Linked DNA regions of Anolis sagrei. The protein of the gene in region 2 interacts with the protein of the main gene of each other region in a pairwise test. Links are inferred from orthologs where the notes say so. Each region holds a gene or a part of one and is shown on either strand. Other genes may lie near its edges. The genes, in order: CDC42EP2, CASS4 and ZYX.

What was found.
Region 1: the proteins of CASS4 (region 2) and CDC42EP2 interact in binary tests that used the Homo sapiens proteins (3 or more experiments, as listed by UniProt). The link is inferred for Anolis sagrei from reciprocal best matches to the Homo sapiens genes CASS4 and CDC42EP2.
Region 3: the proteins of CASS4 (region 2) and ZYX interact in binary tests that used the Homo sapiens proteins (3 or more experiments, as listed by UniProt). The link is inferred for Anolis sagrei from reciprocal best matches to the Homo sapiens genes CASS4 and ZYX.

Annotation. Positions count from the first base shown.
Region 1 is NC_090032.1:10,719,520-10,727,481, forward strand, and holds the start of CDC42EP2 (cdc42 effector protein 2), read right to left. Parts: upstream 3,046-7,962; 5' UTR 2,966-3,045; intron 1-2,965. UniProt on the Homo sapiens protein: Probably involved in the organization of the actin cytoskeleton. May act downstream of CDC42 to induce actin filament assembly leading to cell shape changes. Induces pseudopodia formation in fibroblasts in a CDC42-dependent manner.
Region 2 is NC_090024.1:226,293,094-226,300,972, reverse strand, and holds the start of CASS4 (cas scaffolding protein family member 4), read right to left. Parts: upstream 3,088-7,879; 5' UTR 2,812-3,087; coding exon 2,749-2,811; intron 1-2,748. UniProt on the Homo sapiens protein: Docking protein that plays a role in tyrosine kinase-based signaling related to cell adhesion and cell spreading. Regulates PTK2/FAK1 activity, focal adhesion integrity, and cell spreading.
Region 3 is NC_090022.1:196,437,438-196,444,809, reverse strand, and holds the start of ZYX (zyxin), read left to right. Parts: upstream 1-4,292; 5' UTR 4,293-4,492; intron 4,493-7,372. UniProt on the Homo sapiens protein: Adhesion plaque protein. Binds alpha-actinin and the CRP protein. Important for targeting TES and ENA/VASP family members to focal adhesions and for the formation of actin-rich structures.

The DNA.
Region 1 (7,962 bases), on a different chromosome or scaffold from region 2:
TGCCAGGCAAGAAGACACAATTAAAGCCCTCCTGGCAGATGGCCATCCAGCCTCTGCTTCAAAACCTCCAGGGAAGGAGACTCTGCCGGACTTATTATTATTATATTCCACTACTGAACAGCTCCTGAACATATACAAAACGTAATTTTCCAACCTTTGTAACTATTTAGCAATATAAAAGTGTCTTCTGAGCATATAACAAAGTATCTTTTCCAACCATTACATGTATTAATGATATAATAGAGGCAAAATGGACTTCTGAGCATGAACAAAGTACTCTTTTCCAATACTGGAAATGTTTAGCGATATTAACTCAACAAACCAGGCTTCTGAGCATGTGCAAAGTGCTCTTTCCCAACCATTGTACCTATTTAGTGACATAACAGCAACGAAGTAGGCGTCTGAGCATATCCAAAGTGCCCATTTCCAACAGCTGTCGCTATATAGTGACCAAAAAGCAGCAAACCAGGCTTCTGAGCATGTCCAAAGTGTTCTTTCCCAACCATTGTAGCTATTTAATGACCTAAAATCAGCAAAGCGGGCTTTTGAGCATGTCCAAAGTACTTTTTCCAAATACTGTTGCTATTTAGTGACCAAAAAGCAGCAAACCAGGCTTCTGAGCATGTCCAAAGTGTTATTTCCCAACTATTATACTTATTTAGTGACCCAAAAGCAGCAAACCCGGCTTCTGAGCATGTCCAGAGTGCCCCTTTCCACAGACTGTTGCTATTTAGTGACCCAAAGGAGGAAACCAGGCTTCTGAGCATGTCCAAAGTGCCCTTTTCCAAAAATTGTCACTATTTAGTGTCCTAAAATCAGCAAATCGGGCTCCTGAGCATGTCCAAAGTGCCCTTTTCCAAAGACTGTTGCTATTGAGTGACCAAAAATCAGCAAAGCAGGCTTCTGAGCATGTCCAAAGTGTTATTTCCCAACCATTATACTTATTTAGTGACCCAAAAGCAGCACACCAGGATTCTGAGCATGTCCAAAGTGCCCCTTTCCATAGACTGTTGGTATTGAGTGACCCAAAGGAGGAAACCAGGTTTCTGAGCATGTCTAAAGTGCCCATTTCCAACGACTGTCACTATATAGTGACCTAAAATCAGCAAAGCAGGCTTCTGAGTATGTCCAAAGTGACTTTTCCAAAGACTGTCGCTATTTAGTGACCGAAAATCAGCAAACCAGGCTTCTGAGCATGTCCAATGCGCCCTTTTCCAAAGACTGTCGCTATTTAGTGACCAAAAAGCAGGGAAGCAGGCTCCTGAGCATGTCCAAAGTGTTCTTTCCCACCCATTATACCTATTTAGTGACCAAAAATCACCAAACCAGGCTTCTGACCATATCCAAACTGCCCTTTTCCAAAGATTTTTGCTATTTAGTGATCTAAAATCACCAAACATGCTTCTGAGCATGTCCAGAGTGCTCTTTTCCAAAGACTTTTGCTATTTAGTGGCCTAAAAGCAGCAAACCAGGCTTCTGAGCATGTCCAGAGTGCCCTTTTCCAAAGACTTTTGCTATTTAGTGGCCTAAAAGCAGCAAACCAGGCTTCTGAGCATGTCCAGAGTGCTCTTTTCCAAAGACTTTTGCTATTTAGTGGCCTAAAAGCAGCAAACCAGGCTTCTGAGCATGTCCAGAGTGCTCTTTTTCAAAAACAGTTGCTATTGAGTGACCAAAATGCAACAAACCAGGTTCTGAGCATGTCCAGCGTGCCCTTTTCCAAATATGTTTGCTATTTAGTGACCTAAAAGCAGCAAACCAGGCTTCTGAGCATGTCCAGACTGCCAACTGTTGTTATTTAGTGACCTAAAATCAGCAAACCTGGCTTCTGAGCATATCTAAAGTGTTCTTTACCAAGCATTGTACCTATTTAGTGACCCAAAATCAGCAAAGCAGGCTCCTGAGCATGTCCAGAGTGCTTTGTCCAAAGACTATTGTTATTTAGTGACCTAAAAGCAGCAAACCAGGCTTCTGAGCTTGTCCAAAGTGCCAACTGTTGTTATTTAGTGACCTAAAATCAGCAAACCTGGCTTCTGAGCATGTTCAAAGTGTTCTTTCCCAACCATTGTACCTATTTAATGACCCAAAATCAGCAAAGCAGGCTTCTGAGCATGTCCAAAGTGCTCTTTCCCAACCATTGTACCTATTTAGTGACCTAAAATCAGCAAAGCAGGCTCCTGAGCATGTCCAAAGTGCCCTTTTCCAAAGACTGTTGCTATTTAGTGACCTAAAAGCAGCAAACCAGGCTTCTGAGCATGTCCAGAGTGCCCTTTTCCAAAGACTTTTGCTATTTAGTGACGTAAAATCAGCAAACCAGGCTTCTGAGCATGTCCAGAGTGCCCTTTTCCAAAGATTTTTGCTATTTAGTGACCTAAAATGAGCAAACCTGGCTTCTGAGCATGTCCAAAGTGTTCTTTCCTAACCACTGTACTTATTTAGTGACCAAAAAGCAGCTTCTGAGCATGTCCAAAGTGCAAACTGTTGTTATTTAGTGACCTAAAAATCAGCAAACCTGGCTTCTGAGCATGTCCAAAGTGTTCCTTCCCAACCATTGTACCTATTTAGTGACCCAAAATCAGCAAACCAGGCTCCTGAGCATGTCCAAAGTGCTTTTTCCAAAGACTATTGTTATTTAGTGACCTAAAATCAGCAAACCAGGCTTCTGAGCATGTCCAAAGTGTTCCTTCCCAACCATTGTACCTATTTAGAGACCCAAAATCAGCAAAGCAGGCTCCTGAGCATGTCCAAAGTGCTTTTTCCAAAGACTGTTATTATTTAGTGACCTAAAAACATCAAACCAGGCTTCTGAGCATGTCCAGAGTGCCATGTGGCAGATATCAGGCTCACAACGCTAAGAAACCCCCAAACCTTGACACTTGCCACGCCCATGGAGCTCCACAAAGGCTTTGCATCCCTGCCTATGGGGTTCCTGAAGGCCTCCTCCGCCCTTGCCAAGGGGAATACTCACCCAGATCTGGCCTGGGCGTCGCCTCCTCCTCTTCCTTCGGCCGCCAAAGAGAGAAAAGGCGCGCCCTCCGCCTGCCCAGGATTGCCACCCACCGCCAAGCCACGCCCACTCCAGCCCTGGACCAATCCCAAGCCGCGGCTGGCTAGGCAGCGTTCTATCCCCGCCCCTTTTGTTTTGCATGTTGCAACATTGCTTCATCATAGGGAAGGGCTTTGTGGCTTGACCTCCCTGATTCACTCCTATTGAATCCTCTTGTCTTTGGACCCATCTTTGGGGATCCATAAAGGATATTGACAATAATAATAATAATAATAATCTATAGACATAATAATAGTGAAAATGTGTATTACTATATATATCTGTATAATAATATAATATGTATATTGTGTGTTTATATTATTATAATATAATATGTAATAATATAATATGTATATTGTGTGTTTATATTATTCTAATAATATAATATGTAATAATATAATAATATAATATGTATATTGTGTGTTTTATATTATTATAATAATATAATATTATATTAATTTTCCTATTATATATTATTATATATTCATATTTATTATATTATGCTTATAAGATATATAACATTACTATATATCTGCATAATAATATAATATATATCTGTATAATAATATATTTTGAGATTTATTATAATATAATATAATATATTTTGAGTTTTTATATTTAATAAATTATACTTTTATTGACTATATATGCATAATTTGTTACTATATATTATTTTATATTCATTATTATATTTTCATATTATATATTATTATATATTCATATTTATATATATATTAATATATTATACTTTTATTGACTATATATGCATAATTCATTACTATATATTATTTTATATAATTATATATTCATTATTATATTTTCATATTATATATTATTATATATTCATATTTATTATGTTATGCTTATAAGATATATAACATTACTATATGCATAATAATATAATATATATCTGTATAATAATATAATATCTGTATAATAATATAATATATTTTGAGATTTATTATAATATAATATAATATATTTTGAGTTTTTATATTTAATATATTATACTTTTATTGACTATATATGCATAATTTTTACTATATATTATTTTATATAATTATATATTCATTATTATATTTTCATATTACATATTATTATATATTCATATTTATTATATTATGCTTATAAGATATATAACATTACTATATATCTGCATAATATAATATATAATGCGTTTACATTTATTATACATGATATAGAACATTAGTTACTATATATCTGTATAATAATATAATATATATTGAGTGTTTATATTTAATATATACACGTAATAAAAGTGAAAATGTGTATGTATAAAACATTCATTACTATATATATATATTGTGTGTTTATATTTAATATATTATACTTTTATTGACCATATATGTATGTATGTGTGTATATTTGTGTGTGCTTGTGCATATATATACGTGTGTGTATGAATGTATTTATGTATATGTATATATATGTGAGCATGTGTATATGTATATATGTGTGTGTATATTTGTGTGTGCTTGTGCATATATATATGTGTATGAATGTATACATGTATGTATATGTATATATATATATGTGAGCATGTGTATATGTATATATATGTGTGTATATTTGTGTGTGCTTGTGCATATATATATGTGTATGAATGTATACATGTATGTATATGCATATATATGTGAGCATGTGTATATGTATTTATGTATGTGTATATTTGTGTTTGCTTGCGCATATATATATGTGTGTGTATGAATGTATGTATGTGTATATGTGTATATGTATGTGTGCATGTGTTTATTTGTGTATATATGTGTGTGCCTGTGTATATGTATCTATGTGTGTGTGCATGTATATGTATGTGTGTGTACATATGTATATTTGTGTGTGCTTGTGCATATATATACATGTGTATGAATGTGTGTATGTGCAGGGGCAGCTCACCCATTACGCAAAGTAAGCACTCGCAGTATAGTTGATGTTGCCCAGGGGCGCTCTTGAGGCACTCTTGGGGGAAAATAGACCTTGACATATGCGAGTTGTAGTTACTGGGATGTATAGTTCACCTACAATCAAAGAGCATTCTGAACTCCACCAGTGATGGAATTGAACCAAATATGGCACAGAGAACTCCTACGACGAACAGAAAATATAGATCAGTGATTGGTTGGGGGGGGGGGGGGGGGGCGCCAAAATACTGTTTGCTTACCGTTGAAAATTACCTAGGGCTGCCTCTGTGTATGTGCATATGTATATGAATGTATGTATATATGTATATATGGTGTATTTTTTGGGTTTTAAAGTCTGTTCCACTGGGGGAGGGTGTTTTTGGGGGTGGTGGACACTCGTTGGACTGTTATGTGTATTGTGTCAAAATTTTGTGTCCATTCGACCAGTGGTTTCTGAGTTATGTTAATCCCACAAACGAACATTACATTTTTATTTATATAGACTAGCCGTCCCCTGCCACGCGTTGCTGTGGCCCACATGGGGGTTCTGTGTGGGAGGTTTGGCCCAATTCCATCGTTGGTGGGGTTCAGAAAGCTCTGTGATAGTTCAGAAAGTGAACTATAAATCCCAGCAATTACAACTCCCAAATGTCAAGGTCTATTTTCCCCAAACTCCACCAGTGTCTACATTTGGGCATATTGAGTATTCATGTAGTTTGGTCCAGATCCATCATTGTTTGAGTCCACAGTGATCGCTGGATGTAGGTGAACTACAACTCCAAAACCAAAGGACATTGTGCACCAAACCCTTGCAGTATTTTCTGTTGGTCATGGGAGAACCGTGTGCCAAGTTTGGTTCAATTCCATCGTTGGTGGGGTTCAGAATGCTCTTTGATTGTAGGTGAACTATAAATCCCAGCAACTACAACTCCCAAATGACAAAATCAATTTTTTTTTTTAGTGAAGGACATAAATTGGGTTGTTAGGTATCTTGTGTCCAAATTTGATGTCAATTCGTCTAGTGGTTTTTGAGTTCTGTTAATCCCACAAACGAACATTACATTTTTATTTATTTATATTCATATGTGTGTGTGTATATATGTATGTATTGGGAGGGATAGCTAATATTCCAAAGACGGAAAGGGGTTGCCCTGGATGGCCTTTGGGTTTTTCTTTCCAGCTCTAGGATTCCATGATTAAGAGCCATGTTTTCGTTCTGATGCAAGCCCATCTGATGTAACCCACCTCTTTCCCTGCTTTCCTTTGTGTTGATCCAAGCGGAGAGGAAATCAAAATCCATATTTGGCCTGCATTTTCCTCTGACAGCACAGCCAGCCAAGCCTATAATTTTAATAATGTGTCAAGGTGGAATTCCTCTGATTTAGGGGAAGAGCGACATCATCCGCCAGGCACTCCGGTTGAAGAAAAAGAAAACCCCAGAGGGTTTCTTTGGAGGCTTCGGTCAGGTTTTATCTATGGGATCTGTTTTGAGAAGCAAAGAGGGGGTTTGGAAAGCAAAGATCTTTGTCTAGGGAAGGGCGAAGGAGGAGAAAGCAAGGACAAGACATTTGCCTGGAGAAACAAAAAAGGTGGTCAGTTGAAACATTCACGCCTAGCTCCAGCAGACAAGAGTTCTTTGTCCCACCCTGGTCATTCTACAGATATATAAACCCTTTGTCCTAGTTTCAACAGATCTCACTACCTCTGAGGATGCTTGACATCGATGCAGGCAAAACGTCAGGAGAGAATGCCTCTAGACCATGGCCATATAGCCCGAAAAAACCTACAACAACCCAGTGAAGGTGGCCTGTCTCTGATCCAAAATGCTTGGGGCAAAAAGTGTTTTCTGTTGAGGAAATTATTATTATTTATTTACTAGCTGTCCCCTGCCATGCGTTGCTGTGGCCCACATGGGGGCCCTGTGTGGGAGGTTTGGCCCAATTCTATCGTTGGTGGGGTTCAGAATGCTCTGTGATTGTAGGTGAACTATAAATCCCAGCAACTACAACTCCCAAATGTCAAGACTCTATTTTCCCCAAACTCCACTAGTGTTCACATTTGGGCATAGTGAGTATCTGTGCCAGGTTTGGTCCAGATCCATCATTGTTTGAGTCCACAGTGCTCTCTGGATACAGGTGAACTACAACAAACATTACGTTTTTATTTATATAGACTAGCTGTACCCACCACGCTTTGCTGTGGCCAACCTGCCCTCATTCTTTCTCTCCTTCTTTCTTTCTCTTCTTCCTTCCTTCCTTCCCTCCCTCTTTCCTTCCTTCCCTTTTTCTTTCCCTTCTTCTTTCTTCCTTCTCTACCTGTTTCTTTTCTTGCTTCCTTTGCTCTTTGGTTCCATCCTTCCTTGTCTCTTTCCTTCCTTCCTTCCCTCTTTCTTTCATTCCTTCTCTCCTTCCTTCCCTCTTTCACTTTTTTATTTCCTTCTCTCCTTCCTTCCTTCTCTACCTTTCCTTCCCTCCTTCTTTCCCTCTTTCTCTCCCTCCTTCTCTACTTCCTTCTCTATCCTTCTTTCTTTCCTTCCTTCTTTCTCTCCTTCCTTCTCTACTTACTTCCTTCTCTATGCTTCTTTCCTTCCTTCTCCCCTTCCCTCCTTCTTTCTCTCCCTCCCTCTCTACTTCTTCTCTATCCTTCTTTCTTTCCTTTCTTCTCTCCTTCCCTCCTTTCTCTTCTCTCCCTTCTCTACCTTTCTTTCCTACCTTTTCTCCTTCCCTCCTCTCTTTCTTCTCTCCCTCTTCCTGTCCTTCCTTCCTTCTCTACCCTTCTTTCTTTGCTTCCTTCTTTCCTTCCCTCCTTCTTTCTCTCCCTCCTTCTCTCCTCTTTTTTCTTTCCTTCTTTCTTTCCCCTCCTTTTTTCCGTTCTCTCCCTCCTTCTCTATTTATTTCCTTCTCAGCAAAAGTAAGGAAAGGAAGAAGGAAGGGAAAAGAAAGGAAGGAGGGGGGAGGGAAGAGGAAGGAAAAAGAAGAAAGGAAGGAAGGAAGCAAA
Region 2 (7,879 bases):
AATTGGTTCTAGTCATCAAAGATGAGACATCTGTATCTGACGATGTGGGATATGTAATCTACAGACACCTATACTATTGTAAATATTTTCAGTCATTAAGATGCCAGAAAACTCTGTTGTTTTTTGGTGCAACAGGGTTACTCCTCCAAAGATGACAGAACTATGGCGATTGAAGTTGTTCACCTTGAACAAATATTGAGTCACTGCTGAGATAGGACTGATACTCCCAGATAAATTCATTTGAAATAGCCTCCTAAACTATGTTAGTTTATTTTGACAATATTATGGCAGATTGGCACACTGATTTTAAAGGATTTCAAAGAAAAGGAAAAGAATAGCAGGTATGAGGCAACCACAGCATTAAATAGTCCTGAATGCTTGCTTATGTTAATTCCACTGAACCAAAACATAGAATCTGTACCAGTCTAATTTGAACTGAAATATGCAGGCACATCTCAGCATGTGTCTACATTGCAGAAGTATTCCAGGTGATCCCATTTAAACTGCCATAGCTCAATGTTAAGGAATCAATGGGCTATATGGGGCCAGAGGAGGGTGACTAAAATGATCAAGGGTCTGGAGAAAAAGCCCTATAAGGAGCAACTTAAAGAGCTGGGCATGTTTGGCATGAAGAAGAGAAGGCTGAGAGGAGACATGATGGCCATGTATGTGAAGGGGAGTCACAGGGAGGAGGGAGCAAGCTTGTTTTCTGCTGCCTTTGAGACTAGGATGCAGAACAATGGCTTCAAACTACAGGAAAGGAGATTCCACCTGAGCATTAGGAAAAACTTCCTGACTGTGAGTGCTGTTCAGCAGTGAAACTCTCTGCTCCAGAGTGTGGTGGAGGCTCCTTCTGTGAAGGCTTTTAAGCAGAGGCTGGATGGCCATCTGTCAGGAGTGCTTTGAATGCAATTTCCTGCTTCGTGGCAGGGGGTTGGACTGGATGGCCCATGAGGTCTCTTCCAACTCATTGTATGGTCTCATGGGAGGTCTCTATGGCTAATTAGGGACTTGAACCCTGGTCTCCAAACGCCCAAACCACACCATCCTGGCTCCCATTAACATTTTGCTCCCCCCCCCCTCGCAAAACTAGGGACAACACATGCATGTGATTGTCACAATTAGCAAGTCTTTTGCCGAGAAATAATCAGTTCCAACTTATCTATAAGACTATCAGATTAAAACTGATATGAAATGTTGTGCATGCAATATTTTTACAAGTTAATAAAACTGTGTTTTATCTCTCGCTTCCTCAACACCAAAACCCACGTTCCTTCCTTTATAGTTATCTTTTTCATAGATCGACTATAGGGCAGAAGATGACAGAAGACATGTATAATGAGATTTTTAATTTATTAATGAAAAAGCTAACTTAAAAATAGTAGTAATACCTATTTGGGGAACATTTTGCATCCCCGAAAAGTGCATCTTTACATATAGCTACTCAGAAGCAAGCACACTGCAATCAGTGAGTCTAACATCTAAGTGAGGATGTTGCTTATACTATTTCTATTATATTCTATACATTATATATTATTTCTAGAGTTGCTTATATTATTTCTATACTACTATTATCACTGTTATTGTTGTTGTTGCATGTCAAAAATAGATATGGCCATCCATCAAAACTATTATCTGGGCAGCTTTTTCTTTCAAACTAGCAAAATAAAACATTCTATTTAATTGGTTGCTGTGAGTTTTCCAGGCTGTATGGCCATGTTCTAGAAGCATTCTCTCCTGACGTTTCACCCACATGTATGGCAGGCATCCTCAGAGGTTGTGAGGTATGTTGGAAACTAGGCAAGTGGGGTTTATAGATCTGTGGAATGTCCCCGGTGGGAGAAATAACTTTTGTCTGTTTGAGGAAAGTGTGAACAGACATTGCACAGATATATATAAACTCCATTTGCCTGGTTTCCAACTGACCTCACAACCTCTGAGGATGCCTGTCATAGATGTGGGTGAAATGTCAGGAGAGAGTGCTTCTGCAACATGGCCATAAAATGTATTTTCGAAGGCTTTCAAGGCCGGAATCACTGGGTTTTTGTAGGTTCTTTCCGGGCTGTATGGCCATGTAGAGGCATTCTCTCCTGACGTTTTGCCTGTATCTATGGCAAGCATCCTCAGAGGTAGTGAGGTACCTCTGAGGATGCTTGCCATAGATGCAGGCGAAACAGCAGGAGAGAATGCCTCTAGACCATGGCCATATAGCCCGAAAAAACCCATGGCCATAAAACCTGGAAAACTCACAGTAACTCAGTGATTCTGGCAAAAGAAAAGCCTTTGACGACACATTGAACATTCTGTTGCCAATTGGCTAATTCATGGATGGGACACCACCAACAAATACTGTTGTAGGCTGTATTTCAGAAGAAGGAACTGAGTATTGTTCTCCTTAGAAAATGCTTTGAAAATTTATCAGGATGTCATATGTCAACAGACATATATATAAATACATACACACACACAGTATGCATTGAACATTTTATTGAACATTGAACAGATGTTCAATGTTGTCACATCCATGTATTAGCCAGGGCTGTCCCTGCTTAGCTTTCAAAAATCAGATGGGAGCTATTGTTTTCAGGATATCTTTAGAAAGACAACAATCCAAATGCAAAAAGCTCTCTCCTTATAAAGTTGCAGCTTGTCTATTATCAATAGCTGTACACAGTAGATAAATCTGTAAAATCAAATCTACACAAACCCTTCAATATGCAATTGCAACAAGCAAAGTTTGCTACTCACGTTCACTTTCATTTTGCCACTTTCTCTTAAAGCCTTTCCTGGTCCATTAAGGCACGCTGGCATTAAAAAGGTATCTGGCTTGCCTCCTTGAACTAAATCAGGACTAGCAACCAAACAGCAGAAATCCTCTTGTGTCAAATTGCTTGCAAAACCTCCTTCGCCTAATTCGCTGCCCAAAGACGGTGGAGTAATTTCAGAGTGAATTTGAGAGAGGAAGGAACTTCATTGCACAGTTCTTTTCTCCTGTGTTGCAATTGGCCTGGAGAGATCCCCATGCAAATGAGGTTCTGAATATTTAGCATCCCCAGGATCAAAGGGAAGATGAGGATTGGGCAGATAAAAAAGTCATTGGGGGAAAGAGAGAGATAATTCTTTAAAAACAACAATGACATATAATACAAAGAAAACCTCATAAAACAAATGTAGTGCAAAGGTTTTCTTATTCTACTATGGGATTTTAATTTTTTTCATTACTGCTTTACTCTTCAATTTGGCTCCTGATACGCTGAATTTTAATTATTCTAAAGTCTCAGCATTGTTATCATCTTGAATTTTAACTACCTGGCCTTGCTTCAGTGATTCCATCTCAAATTACCCGAAACAAAGTCTTAGGAATTATATCTTTTTAAGGGTGAGGGTGGCACAGAGGGTGGATCGGACAGAACAAAGCAGAAGAGAGCCATGAAAATGAAATACTTTCACTGGGGGCTGGCTATTCAAATTGACCATCTGGTCCTGGCTGCTTAATCACTTTTTAACATTCTCTGGTTTGGGTGGATCCTCCTGGGATTTGTTTACGCATTGCTTTTCTCTTTTGTCTCCAACCCCTCTCCCCTTCCTCCACCACCTTTGTGTAAAATAGACCTTACTCTTATTACACTATGAAACACGATTTTTGTCCCTGGGTTATAAATGTCATTTTCTGATTGGTTCTATCATAAAAACATGGAAAAGGTTTATTAAACTGTAAAGTATTTGTTTTTGCGGGACAGCCTGCAGCACATTTTGCTATAGTTTTTCAATGAACATCTCATCGAGTCTCTACCAATTCAACATAGTTTGGGCAGCCATAAAAATGAAGATTCTGGAATATAACAACTATTTTCAAAATAAGTACTGCACAATTAAATGGGAAATAATACATTCAAACCAGGAACAGATTTTTCCCCCAAATTTTGTTACATAGTGTTAGGTATTGAGAGAGGTTTGAATGTATGAATGGGTCTCAGACACATTCATCTTAAGTGGGTCTTTATTTAAAGAAAAGACAGTTACCAATGTACAAAATGAGATACAAGAGCAAACTTGGGGTCCTTCCACACAGCCCTATATCCAATAATAACAAGGCAGAAAATCATACAATATATGCTTTGAACTGGGTTATCTGAGTCCACACTGCCATATATTCCAGTTCAAAGCAGATAATGTGGGATTTTCTGCCTCGATATTCTGGGATATAGGGCTGTGTAGAAGGGCCCTTTGAGAAACTCCAGGGTTTGCACCATAAAAAAAATATCTAGAGAAAAGCTCCTCCCTGGAAAGGCATAGAATTAATACAGAGGAAGGAGAATAGAATAGAATATGCTGGAAGAGAGAGTGAACTGCTGGCTGGCTGTTGGGTTTGCAAAAAACAAGCATTGCTTTTGCCAAAAAAGATTTTTTTTTAAAAAAAAGGAGCTGAATAAACAGAAAAAAATGTTGAGATCTGGGCAAGTCCGTAGCCAAGGGGGCGGTTTACAGGTTCAAAACAACCCCTGAAAATTTTTAGGGGAGGGAGTGGGGACAGCTACCATGTTTACTCCTGAATTTGAACCGGTTAACCAAATCCCCATGCCAAGTATATGAGAAGCAAAAATTAGAGTCTTCCAGAACTACAAGCATTATCTCAATTTTTGATTATTCACACTTTCATTGCATACCTTTTTACCTATTTACATTGCAATAGCAGCAATAGCTGACATAGTGGAAGCAACAAAATTGGTTTACCCACAACTGGCAGGCAAAGCCTAAGGCAGGGAGCGATTTGATCTGGATTGCGGGTGAAAACTGTGGAAATGGAGGTGTCTCCCACTAGTTCATCTAATCCAGGGTTTCCAACCTTTTTTTGACGAGGGACCACTTTAAGCAGGGACCACTTGACCGGGGACCAATTTGACCATGGACCACTTGAACAGGGACCACTTTGACCAGGAACTACTTGGACAGGGACCATTTGAACAGGGACTATTTGAACAGGGACCACTTTGACTAGGGACCACTTGAACACGGACCATTTGAACAGGGACCACTTTGACTAGGGACCACTTGAACAGGGACCATTTGAACAGGGACCACTTTGACCATGGACCACTCTCCAACATTAGTACCAAAAGAGGTGAGGCTGGTCATCTCTGAGGAAAGGAGCAGAAATAAAATAAAATAAAATAAAATAAATAGCAGGAAGGAGGTTCACAGACCGGATTTTTGTTCACACGGCCCACTGCTGGGCTGTGGCCCACAAGATTAGAACCACTGATCTAATCCAAGCCGTGCCAAAGAAACAATGGAACAGGAGCAAAGAGAAGAACCCATGCCATTTGACTTTATATGAACAAGACTGTTCCTGATGACAAAGTCAAAGTTCAGTTAGTGCAAAATCCAGAGATTCCATTGCCAGGATATGTATTTCCTGTGGATAAGAAGAGGCACTTAAGATTTCAACTCAAATAGTTCCGCAGATTTCTCTGGTTAGCCTAGTCATTTCATGTACAAGGTGCTCTCTGTAAGCTCTGTGTGGTGTTTGGAGGAGAAGTTGGGGTAAAGGTGTTCATCAGTAGCTTGTTGCATTGGTTGCTAAACCATTTGTGTGATGGGAAATTGCAATAGAAGTTTTCAATGGACACCAACAAACAAAGTGCCATCAGAACAACTTGTGCTTGGCTGAAAACTTCTTGCTAATTCACAGTGGAAAATGTTTGGATAAGAAAGGAAATAAGAAGAAAGCAGAAGAAAACAAAGCAACTTCTGCCAATTGTGGAAACTATTGTCCTTTGTGGTCAACAAGAACCAACTTAAAGAGGGAGCAATGATTCAGGACCAATTACCGGTGAAGAACCTTTGCACAATGAGGATCATTTCAGGGCCTTGCTGAGATCTCATGCCAGATCAGGAGACACTGGCCTGAAATGTCATCTCAGGAGAAAAAGTTTCAACCCCTTCCGAAATTTTTTTTTCTGGCTACGGGTCTGGATCTGGACATAGATCAAGGGTTAGGTCGAGATTTAAATATATTTCTCAGTCACATTTGGAATCATGTTTGTATCCTAATAACAAGCCTGCAAAAGAGGTTATCACTGGAAGAAAGGAACTCACCCAAAGTCACCTGGAGAGTATCATGGCTTAGTGCAGAACTCTGGATGTTTTCTTACTCCATCTCCCAAAATCCCCAATCCAAATCCCTACAACAGCCTGGAAATTCTAGAAAGTGTAATCCAATAAAGTAACCTAAGCTGTGGTTAACAATGGAGTGCCTGAATATGGGATTTCTGTATTTAAGATGAAAACAATGCACTGGCTGCACAAGGCTACTGGAGGAAGAGAATAAATTATGCTGTCAATTTGTTTTGCTACTTTTATACTTAATACTATCTCACCAAGTCAATCGAATTTACTTCCAGATATATGTGCGACATCTGCCATCACTTTAACCAGCTCAAAATACACATTTGTATAAAACACAAGAAGCACAACAATATATTATTTTGGCATTAATTTCATTAATATACTGTGGCATTAGGAACCAACATGATGAAGTGGTTTGAGTATTGGACTTTGAGAGACCAGGTTTTGTATTCCTATTCAGCCATGGAAATCTATGGGATCACCTTGAGCAAGTCGCACTCTCTCAGTCTCAGAATAAAGCAATAACCAACCACCACTGAACAAATCGTGCCAAGAAGGCTCTACAATATGATTGCCACATTTTAGAATCAACTTGAAAACATACAAGAACAAATTAAATTTTCAGCATGAAGGCCTAACTGAACAGCAAAGAACTGTCCTTATTTAACATTTTGCCTTTCTTTACTAATCTTAAGGCACAACTGTTTCTGCAGAAGAAAGTCCAGCTGAATATAAACTACCAAGTAAAGATAGCCTAAAACAAAGAAGATCCCTTCTTGATCAGACCAAAGGTCTATCAAGTCCAGCACACTGTTCCCACTTCCCACAGAGGTCAACCAGATGCCTCTGGGAAATAAGAGAAACCAACAAGCATGATGTAAGGGAAAATACAAAAACAGACTCATGTTGACATGCAACTAGCCTTATTGTCTCTCATTCTGAGGATAATATAAAACCATGGAGCTTGTGGTTGTGAGTGGAGCACAGGTTATGGCAGGGGATTGCATTGGATATCTTCCAACTCTTTGATTCTTAGGGTCAATGTCACAGCTGTTTACTGGGAGAGAGGGAAGAGGCAGACTGCAATCTGGAGAAGTTTGCTGGAAATCCAGGAATCTCACCTCATGTGTCTTTCCCCAGCTACAAAACAGCAGGTTTGACAGGAATTGTGTGTTGTGTTGTATTATATGTACTGTATCTCTCCTTTCTCCCAATATGAGACCTATAGTACTCTACAATATAAGTTGAAACTAAATATCTAAAACTATATACATGCAGCACTAAGAGTTAAAAAGCTTTAACTAATCCAATCCAAACATTGCATTCACATTAAAAGTAAATTAACACATGACCTTCCATTCCTCCCCATAGTCAGTAAACAGTCATGGCAGTGGTCCTGGGCCTTGAAAGCTGTGGGTGTGTTTGGAGATTGCACAAGGAGGTAGTGAACATCCCATTCCATGGTGTCCAAATGTGATGCACCAACATGTCACCAATAGGATTCCAGACTTTGTCTAAACTACAGTTATAGCAATTTGATGATGTTTTAAAAGTACGTGTTCGGCTCTGTGGGATTTGTAGTTTGGCAAGGAGATACTAAGAATTACCAGGGAGCTCTAGTGCAGAGGTGGATGTGTATAGATATTGTTGAGCTGTAACTCTCAGCAGCTCCAGGCAGCACTAGCAATGGTGAGGGATGTTAAGAGTGATAGTTAAGGAACACCTGGAAGGCTGAATTATTCCAGTGATT
Region 3 (7,372 bases), on a different chromosome or scaffold from region 2:
CTATCCCCCATGCTTTTTAATATCTACATGAAACCACTGGGTGAGGTCATCTGGAGTTTTGGAGTTGGGTACTATCTGTACGCAGATGACACCCAACTCTACTACTCATTTCCACCAAACTCCAAGGAAGCCTCCCAGACCCTGAACCAGTGTCTGACTGCTGTGATGGACTGGATGAGGGCTAACAGGTTGAAGCTTAATCCAGACAAGACAGAGGTCCTCCTGGTCAGTCGTGGGGCCGACCGGGGTATTGGGTGGCAACCTGTGCTCGACGGGGTTACACTCCCCCTGAAGGCGCAGGTCCATAGCTTGGGGGTCCTCCTGGACTCAATGCTGTCACTTGATGCTCAGGTGTCTGTGGTGGCCGGGAGGGCCTTTGGACAACTCAAACTTGTGCGCCAGCTGCAACCATACCTCGTGAAGTCTGACTTGGCCAGGGTGGTCCACACCTTGGTTACATCCAGATTGGACTATTGCAATGTGCTCTACATGGGGCTGCCCTTGAAGATGGCCTGGAAGCTCCAATTGGTACGACGGGCGGCAGCCAGGCTCCTTACTGGAGCAAACTGTAGGGAGCATACAACACCCCTTTTAAAACAACTTCATTGGCTGCCGATAAGTTGCCAAGCCAAATTCAAGGTGCAGGTTATGACCTATAAAGCCCTAAATGGTTTGAGCCCCGCCTTGTTCCATATTTCTTACAAGGACTATGTAAGTTTGTTGCACTGTTTGTTTTTGTTTGCAACACTGCAAGTTTATCTTTTAACTCTGCTGATAAGAGTAAATTTTTTCTGTTCTTTTTCCTCTTGCCTGGGTACAATGTTATTATGTCTTCTGCATTAGACCTGAGTGAAACACGCTATGCGCAACATCATTGTATATCTTGCATGTGTGGCAGTGACGTGCTGATGTGGGAATATCCCTGTCATGAGTTAGTTGTGTGTCTTCACATGTTGTGGGGTGGATCAGGCATCGTTACTTTCTCAGTCCATAACTGGGGGAATGGAAAACACGCCAATGTTTCCATATTTGTGTTTTCTGGTTGTGTTGTCATTTCCTCCTCACTTCCTGGCACAGACATGAATAGGCATTTTAGCAACTGCTTCACCAATCTAGATTGTCCACAATGTACATAGTGGAATGTCCTGCTTATCTTTTCTACTAGCTCAAATATTGCAAAAGCAACCAAGTCAGGAACAAGCAGACCTATGGATCGATTGGGATCAAATGATTATTTCTCCATGAAGTTTTTTGTGGAAAGGGGAAGAGCTGTGACCTGTACATAAAATAAGAGATCAAGAATGTGAAAGTTTCCTTGCTATAGGAACACTGCAAGCAACTGAATTTTCTTTTCTTTCACACCCGCACCCCCAATCTCGTGAATGGTGCCATTCCCATTCCATTGTTGCTTGAGTTTGCCAAGCTAACAGAGAAAACAAGCCTATTTGGGGTCATGCTGAGTGTGGTGGTTTTGTCTGTGGAAAAGAGAGAAAAAAGCCATTCCTCTCAAAGTTTCGACAGGAAATTCTGAGTCAGATAATCTCCCCGCTGGTTGAGGCAGGCAGGCAGGCAAGGAGTGGGGGTGGTGGGTGGAGGAGAGGTTGAGGCCGACCCTGACTCATCCTGCGCGGCCCCTTGGCTGAACTGGGGCTCCAAAGGAAATGAAATCACTCGGAGGGGGAGGGAAAGGGGGCCCTGGAGGGTCCTGAGGAATGCAGCAAACCAATGCAAGGTTTCCTTTTTTCCATGAAGGTGGTTTGTGGGGGAAGGGAGAAGGAGAGGGGATCAGCAGAAGTATGATGAAAACTCTAAACTGCAGGGTCTTGGGCTGAGGGGGAGAAGGAGGTCATGTGTGTGTGTGTGTGTGTGTAGGGGGGCACAGAGAGATTTTAAAAGCCAAGATGGGTGGTGAGGGATTTGGGGAGGGGGATTAAGGGAAGAATTGTTAACTGGCTTGCTCTCCCACTTCTTTTGGTCTCAAACATCTTAACTTTCTTCCCTGTCGAGACTTCACCCTCAGGAAGCTTGAGAGGCGAGGACCTGACCAGGAGTGCTTTTGCTCAGTTAAAATTACTATGTCAACTGTGCCCATTGCTGGAGAAGACAGATCTGGCCTCAGTGGTGCATGCCATGGTTACATCCCAGTTGGACTATTGTAATGCACTCTGTGTGGGACTGCCTTCAAAAAGGGCGCAGAAACTCCAGTTGGTCCAATGAGTAGTTGCCAGACTGCTAACCAGGGCTGACTACAGGAAGCACCCAATCTCACTGTTGCAACAGCTCCAGATCCAATTCAAAGTGCTAGTTTTGACTTAGGCCCCTTCTACACTGCCCTGTATTTCAGAATTTGATCCCAGATTATCTGATTATCTTAAATTAACTGGCAGTATAGACTGCCAGATAATCATATCCTAGTATATAGGGCAGTGTAGAAGGGGCCCTATGAAGCCCTATATGGCTTTTTTCATGTCAGGAGCAACTGCTATATGGCTAAAGTCCAGCTTATCTGATGGAATGTATCTCTTTCTATGAACCTGGTAGACATCTACAATCAACTAGGGAGGACCTTATCTCTGTCCCACCACCCGTTCAAGTGCATGTGGTGGGAATAAGGAAGAGGACCTTTTAGGTGGCTGCTCCCAGTCCATACTCCAGGAGATAAAACCCATTCTGAGGGTTCTTCCACACAGCCCTATATCCCAGAATATCAAGGCAGGAAGTCCCACAATATCTACTTTGAACTAGGTTGTGAGTCCAGATAATGTGGGATTTTCTGCCTTGATATTCTGGGATTCAGGGCTGTGTGGAAGGGCCCTGGGTTATATTTATTTATTTACGATATTTATAGACCGCCTTTCTCAGCCATATGGCAACTCAAGGCAGGTTACAGGTTGGCACAATTCGATGTTAGGCATTAATAAAAGTGCCATTAAAAACAATCAACATTATATGGCTGTGTAGTTGTCAAGAGTGGTTCAGAAATGTTGCTGTTCATTCATTCAGTTGCTTCCGACCCTTTGTGACCTCATGGACCAGCCCACGCCAGAGCTCCCTGTCGGCTGTCACCACCTCCAACTCCTTCAAGATCAAGCCAGTCACTTCAAGGATGTCATCCATCAATCTTGCCCTTGGCAGCCCCTCTTCCTTTTTCCTTCCATTTTCCCCAGCATCATTGTCTTCTCTCTGCTTTCCTGTCTTCTCATGATGTGGCCAAAGTATTTCATCTTTGTCTCTACTATCCTTCCCCCTAATGAGCAGTCGGGCTTTATTTCATGAAGTATAGACTGGTTGGATCTTCTCGCGGTCCAAGGCACTCTCAGCACTTTCCTCCAACACCACAGTTCAAAAGCGTCTATCTTCCTTCGCTCAGCCTTCCCTATGGTCCAGCTCTCACATCCGTAGGTGACCAAGGGGAATACCATTGCTTTAAATATGCGGATCTTTGTTGCCAGTGTGATGTCTCTACTCTTGACTGTTTCATCGAGATTGGACATTGCTCTCCTCCCAAGAAGTAAGTGCTTCCTGATTTCCTGGCTGCAGTCTGCATCTGCAGTAATCTTTGCTCCTAGAAATACAAAGTCTGTCACTGCCTCCACGTTTTCTCCCTCTATTTGCCAGTTATCAATCAGTCTTGCTGACATAATCATAGTTTTTTAAATGTTTAACTGCAACCCAGCTTTTGCACTTTCACCTTGGTGAGAAGGCTTTCGGCCATCAAAGTGGTATCATCTGCATATTTAAGATTGTTAATGTTTCTTCCAGCATTTTTTACCCCAGCCTATTCAACTTGTATGCAGAACACACATGATGTGTTCTGCATACAAGTTGAATAGGTTGAGTGAGAGTATACAACCCCGCCGTACGCCTTTCCCAATCTTGAACCAGTCTGCTGTTGCAGAAATAGTTCAGAAATAGTGAGGATCTAATAAGTAACACTACAAAATCCCAAGGGTGGCCTTCAAGGAAAGGAAGGGGGGTGTCTGTGTGTGTGTGTATGAGAAGAGACACCCCTTTTTTGAGGAGGAGGCAAAGAGGAAGCTGTCTCCCCCCCCCCTCTTCCTTCTCCTCTTCTTCCTCCTCCTTCTCCTCCTCTTCTTTCTTGCCTTCCCTCCTTTTTTCGCAACCTCTGCCTCCCCGGTTTGCCACATTCCCGGAGGAGTGAGCTCAGCTGTTGGGTCGGCGCGGCCTCTCTCCTTTTATGGTCAAAGCGCGGCTGGGGCCGGGCGAGGCTCCCCTCCGCCGAGCGAGGGAGAAAGTGAGGAGTTCTGGGGACCCTCCTCCTCCTCCTTTTCCCTCCTCCTCCTCCTCCTCCTGAGGGCCGCCCCTTCCCGAACTTCCTCTCAGCCCCGCCGCCGGGCAGCGCTTGGGAAAGTCGCGCGCCGGAGTGTGAGGGCTGGCACTGCCTGGCCGCGAGACCCTTCCAAGCACTCTCTCTCCTCCTCAGGCGCACAGGCGCGCGCAAAGCCCTCCTCTTGGGACCACCGTCTTCAAGGTAAGCCAGGCTGCGCTTCGCCTCATACTTCGGGGGTTCCGGGGCTGAAAAGGCGAGGGGGCCGGGCTGTTCTCCTCTTCCTCTGTCCCGTCCCTCCGAAGGCGCCTTTTCCTCCAAAGTCTTCTTCCTTGAGCGCGCTTTCGTGCTGAGAGGAAGGGCTTAAGCGAGGCTACTCCATGCACGCGCCACACCAGGCACTCTCCAAACTCCAGCTGTGCGCCTCCAACTCCCAGAAGCCCTCGCCGGCTTGTTGAATGGTCAGGCATTCTGGGAGTTGGAGGCCCAAGCAGCTGGACAGCCTGAGTTTCAGGACCCTTACACACAGCCCTATAACCCAGAATATCAAGGCAGAAAATACCACAATATCTGCTTTGAGCTGAGTTATCTGAGTCCACACCCAGACAATGTGGGGTTTCCTGCCTTGATATTCTGGGATATAGGGCTGTGTGGAAGGGCCCTCCCAGGCAACCCTATAACCTAGAATATCAAGGCAGAAAATCCCACAATATCACTTTGAACTGGGTTATCTGAGTCCACATTTGGAAAAAAGGGATTTTCTGCCTTGATATTCTGGGATATAGGGCTGTGTAGAAGGGCCCTCCCAGGCAGCCCTATAACCCAGAATATCAAGGCAGAAAATACTACAATATCTGCTTTGAACTGGGTTATCTGAGTCCACATTTAGAAAAAAAGGTATTTTCTGCCTTGATATTCTGGGATATAGGTCTGTGTGGAAGGGCCCTCCCAGGCAGCCCTATAGCCCAGAATATCAAGGCAGAAAATCCCACAATATCCACTCTGAACTGGGACTCCTTTTACACAGCTGAATAAAATCCCACATTACCTGCTTTGGACTGGGATATATGACAGTATGGACTAAGGCAGTGTTTCTCAACCTGTGGGTCCCCAGGTGTTTTGGCGTACAACTCCCAGAAATCCCAGCCAGTTTACCACCTGTTAGGATTTCTGGGAGTTGAAGGCCAAAACATCTGGGGACCCACAGGTTGAGAACCACTGGACTAAGGGCTCTTCCACACAGCTGTATCAAGGCAGAAAAACACACAATATCTCCTTTGTACTTGAGTTATCTGAGTCCACACTGCCACATATCCCAGTTCAAAGCAAATAATGTGGAATCTTATTCAGCTGTGTGGATGGGGCCTTAGATAACCCTGTTCAAAGCAGATATTGTTGGATTTTCTGCCTTGATATTCTGGGTTATATGGCTGTGTGGAAGGGCTCTAAGTTATCCAAGGGCACTTCCAGGCAAGCCCTACATCCCAGGATCTGATCGCAGGTTTTCTGCATTAGACTGCATTATATGAGTGTGCACTGCCAGATAATCTGGGATAAAGAGAAAAACTGGGATCAGATCCTGGGATATAGGGCCTCTCTGGAAGGGCCCTAAAGCACCACACAGTTGAATAAAATCCAATGTTATTTGCTTTGAACTGGAATATATGACAATGTGGACTCTAATAACCCAGTTCAAAGCATATATTGTGGGTTATTCTGTCTTGATATTCTGGATTATATGGCTGTGTGGAAGGGCTCTGAGTTCACGCTGCCATATATTCCAGTTCAAAGAAGATAATGTGGGATTTTATTCAGCTGTGTGGAAGGGGCCTCAGGATGCCTGTTTCTTCCTTGCCAGACATATCCTCCCCTCCTCCTCCTCAAGGGAAATACCTCCAACCTCAAGTCTCCTCCTTTCTCTTGTAAAAGCTTGGCAGCTGGTGAAAGTTGAGAGGCGGGGACTGTTGCAAGCTTTTAACTCAAAGGGCCCTTCCACACAGCCGTGTAACCCAGGATATCAAGGCAGATAATTGACAATATCTGCTTTGAATTGGTTTATCTGAATCCACATTGCCATATAATTCCATTCAATGTGGATTTTATACAGTGGTGTGTAACAGGCAGGTATCTCCTTCTCTCTCTCTCTGAGGCCCTCTCCTGAGCCATTTTTCCAGATGTATAGATAGACTTGGGTAAGGAGAAGGACTCCCCCCCCCCCCATTCCTGCGGGTGGCCTTCCTCCTGGAGAGTGCGCTTACTTCTTCCTTTTACTTTCTTGATTTAAGGCCTGTGGGTGTGAAGGGCTTGTGACTGTAGGCCTTCCTTTCACTTCTCTTCTCTGCAGGTATATCTTTGCCAAGGTACTTTTTTCTTTCTTTTCTGACTTGGCCAACAGAGCATCCCACCAGATTATACTATGTAACAAAATCTGAAAAACATTATGTTCCCAGGTTGAAAGTGTTATTTTTTTGTTTTATTGTGTCTGATGTACTTTGAAAGTAGGGCCCTTCCACACAGCCCTATTTCCCAGAATATCAAGGCAGAAAATCCCACATTATCTGAGTGTGGACTTAGATAACCCAGTTCAAAGCAGATATTGTGGGATTTTCTGCCTTGATATTCTGGGATATAGGGCTGTGTTGAAGGGCCCATAGTTGTTCTACTCCAGAAACTTTGTTTTTGTGGCTGCCAGAAACTATGTTGAATTGGTTGAGACTCGATGAGATATTCATTGAAAAACTATCATAAAATGTGCTGCAGCAGGATGTCTCACCAAAACAAAGTTTTTGAAGCTAATAAACTTTTCTCATGTTTTTATGATAGAACGAATTAGGAAATAACATTTATAACTCTGGAACAAAAATTGTGTTACATAGTGTTATTGCAACACCAGATGTCCCCTCAAGGGATCCACTCAAAGTTTACTTCATGAATTAGATGTTGGCCAGGCATTTCTACAAAACTTCAGAAGTAGGACATGAAGTGCTTTGTGTGCCTTCAGACCATTTTTGTCTTATGGTGACCCTATGGTAAATTGATCATTGTGTTTTCTTGGGAAGATTTGTTCAGAGGGCTTTTGCATTG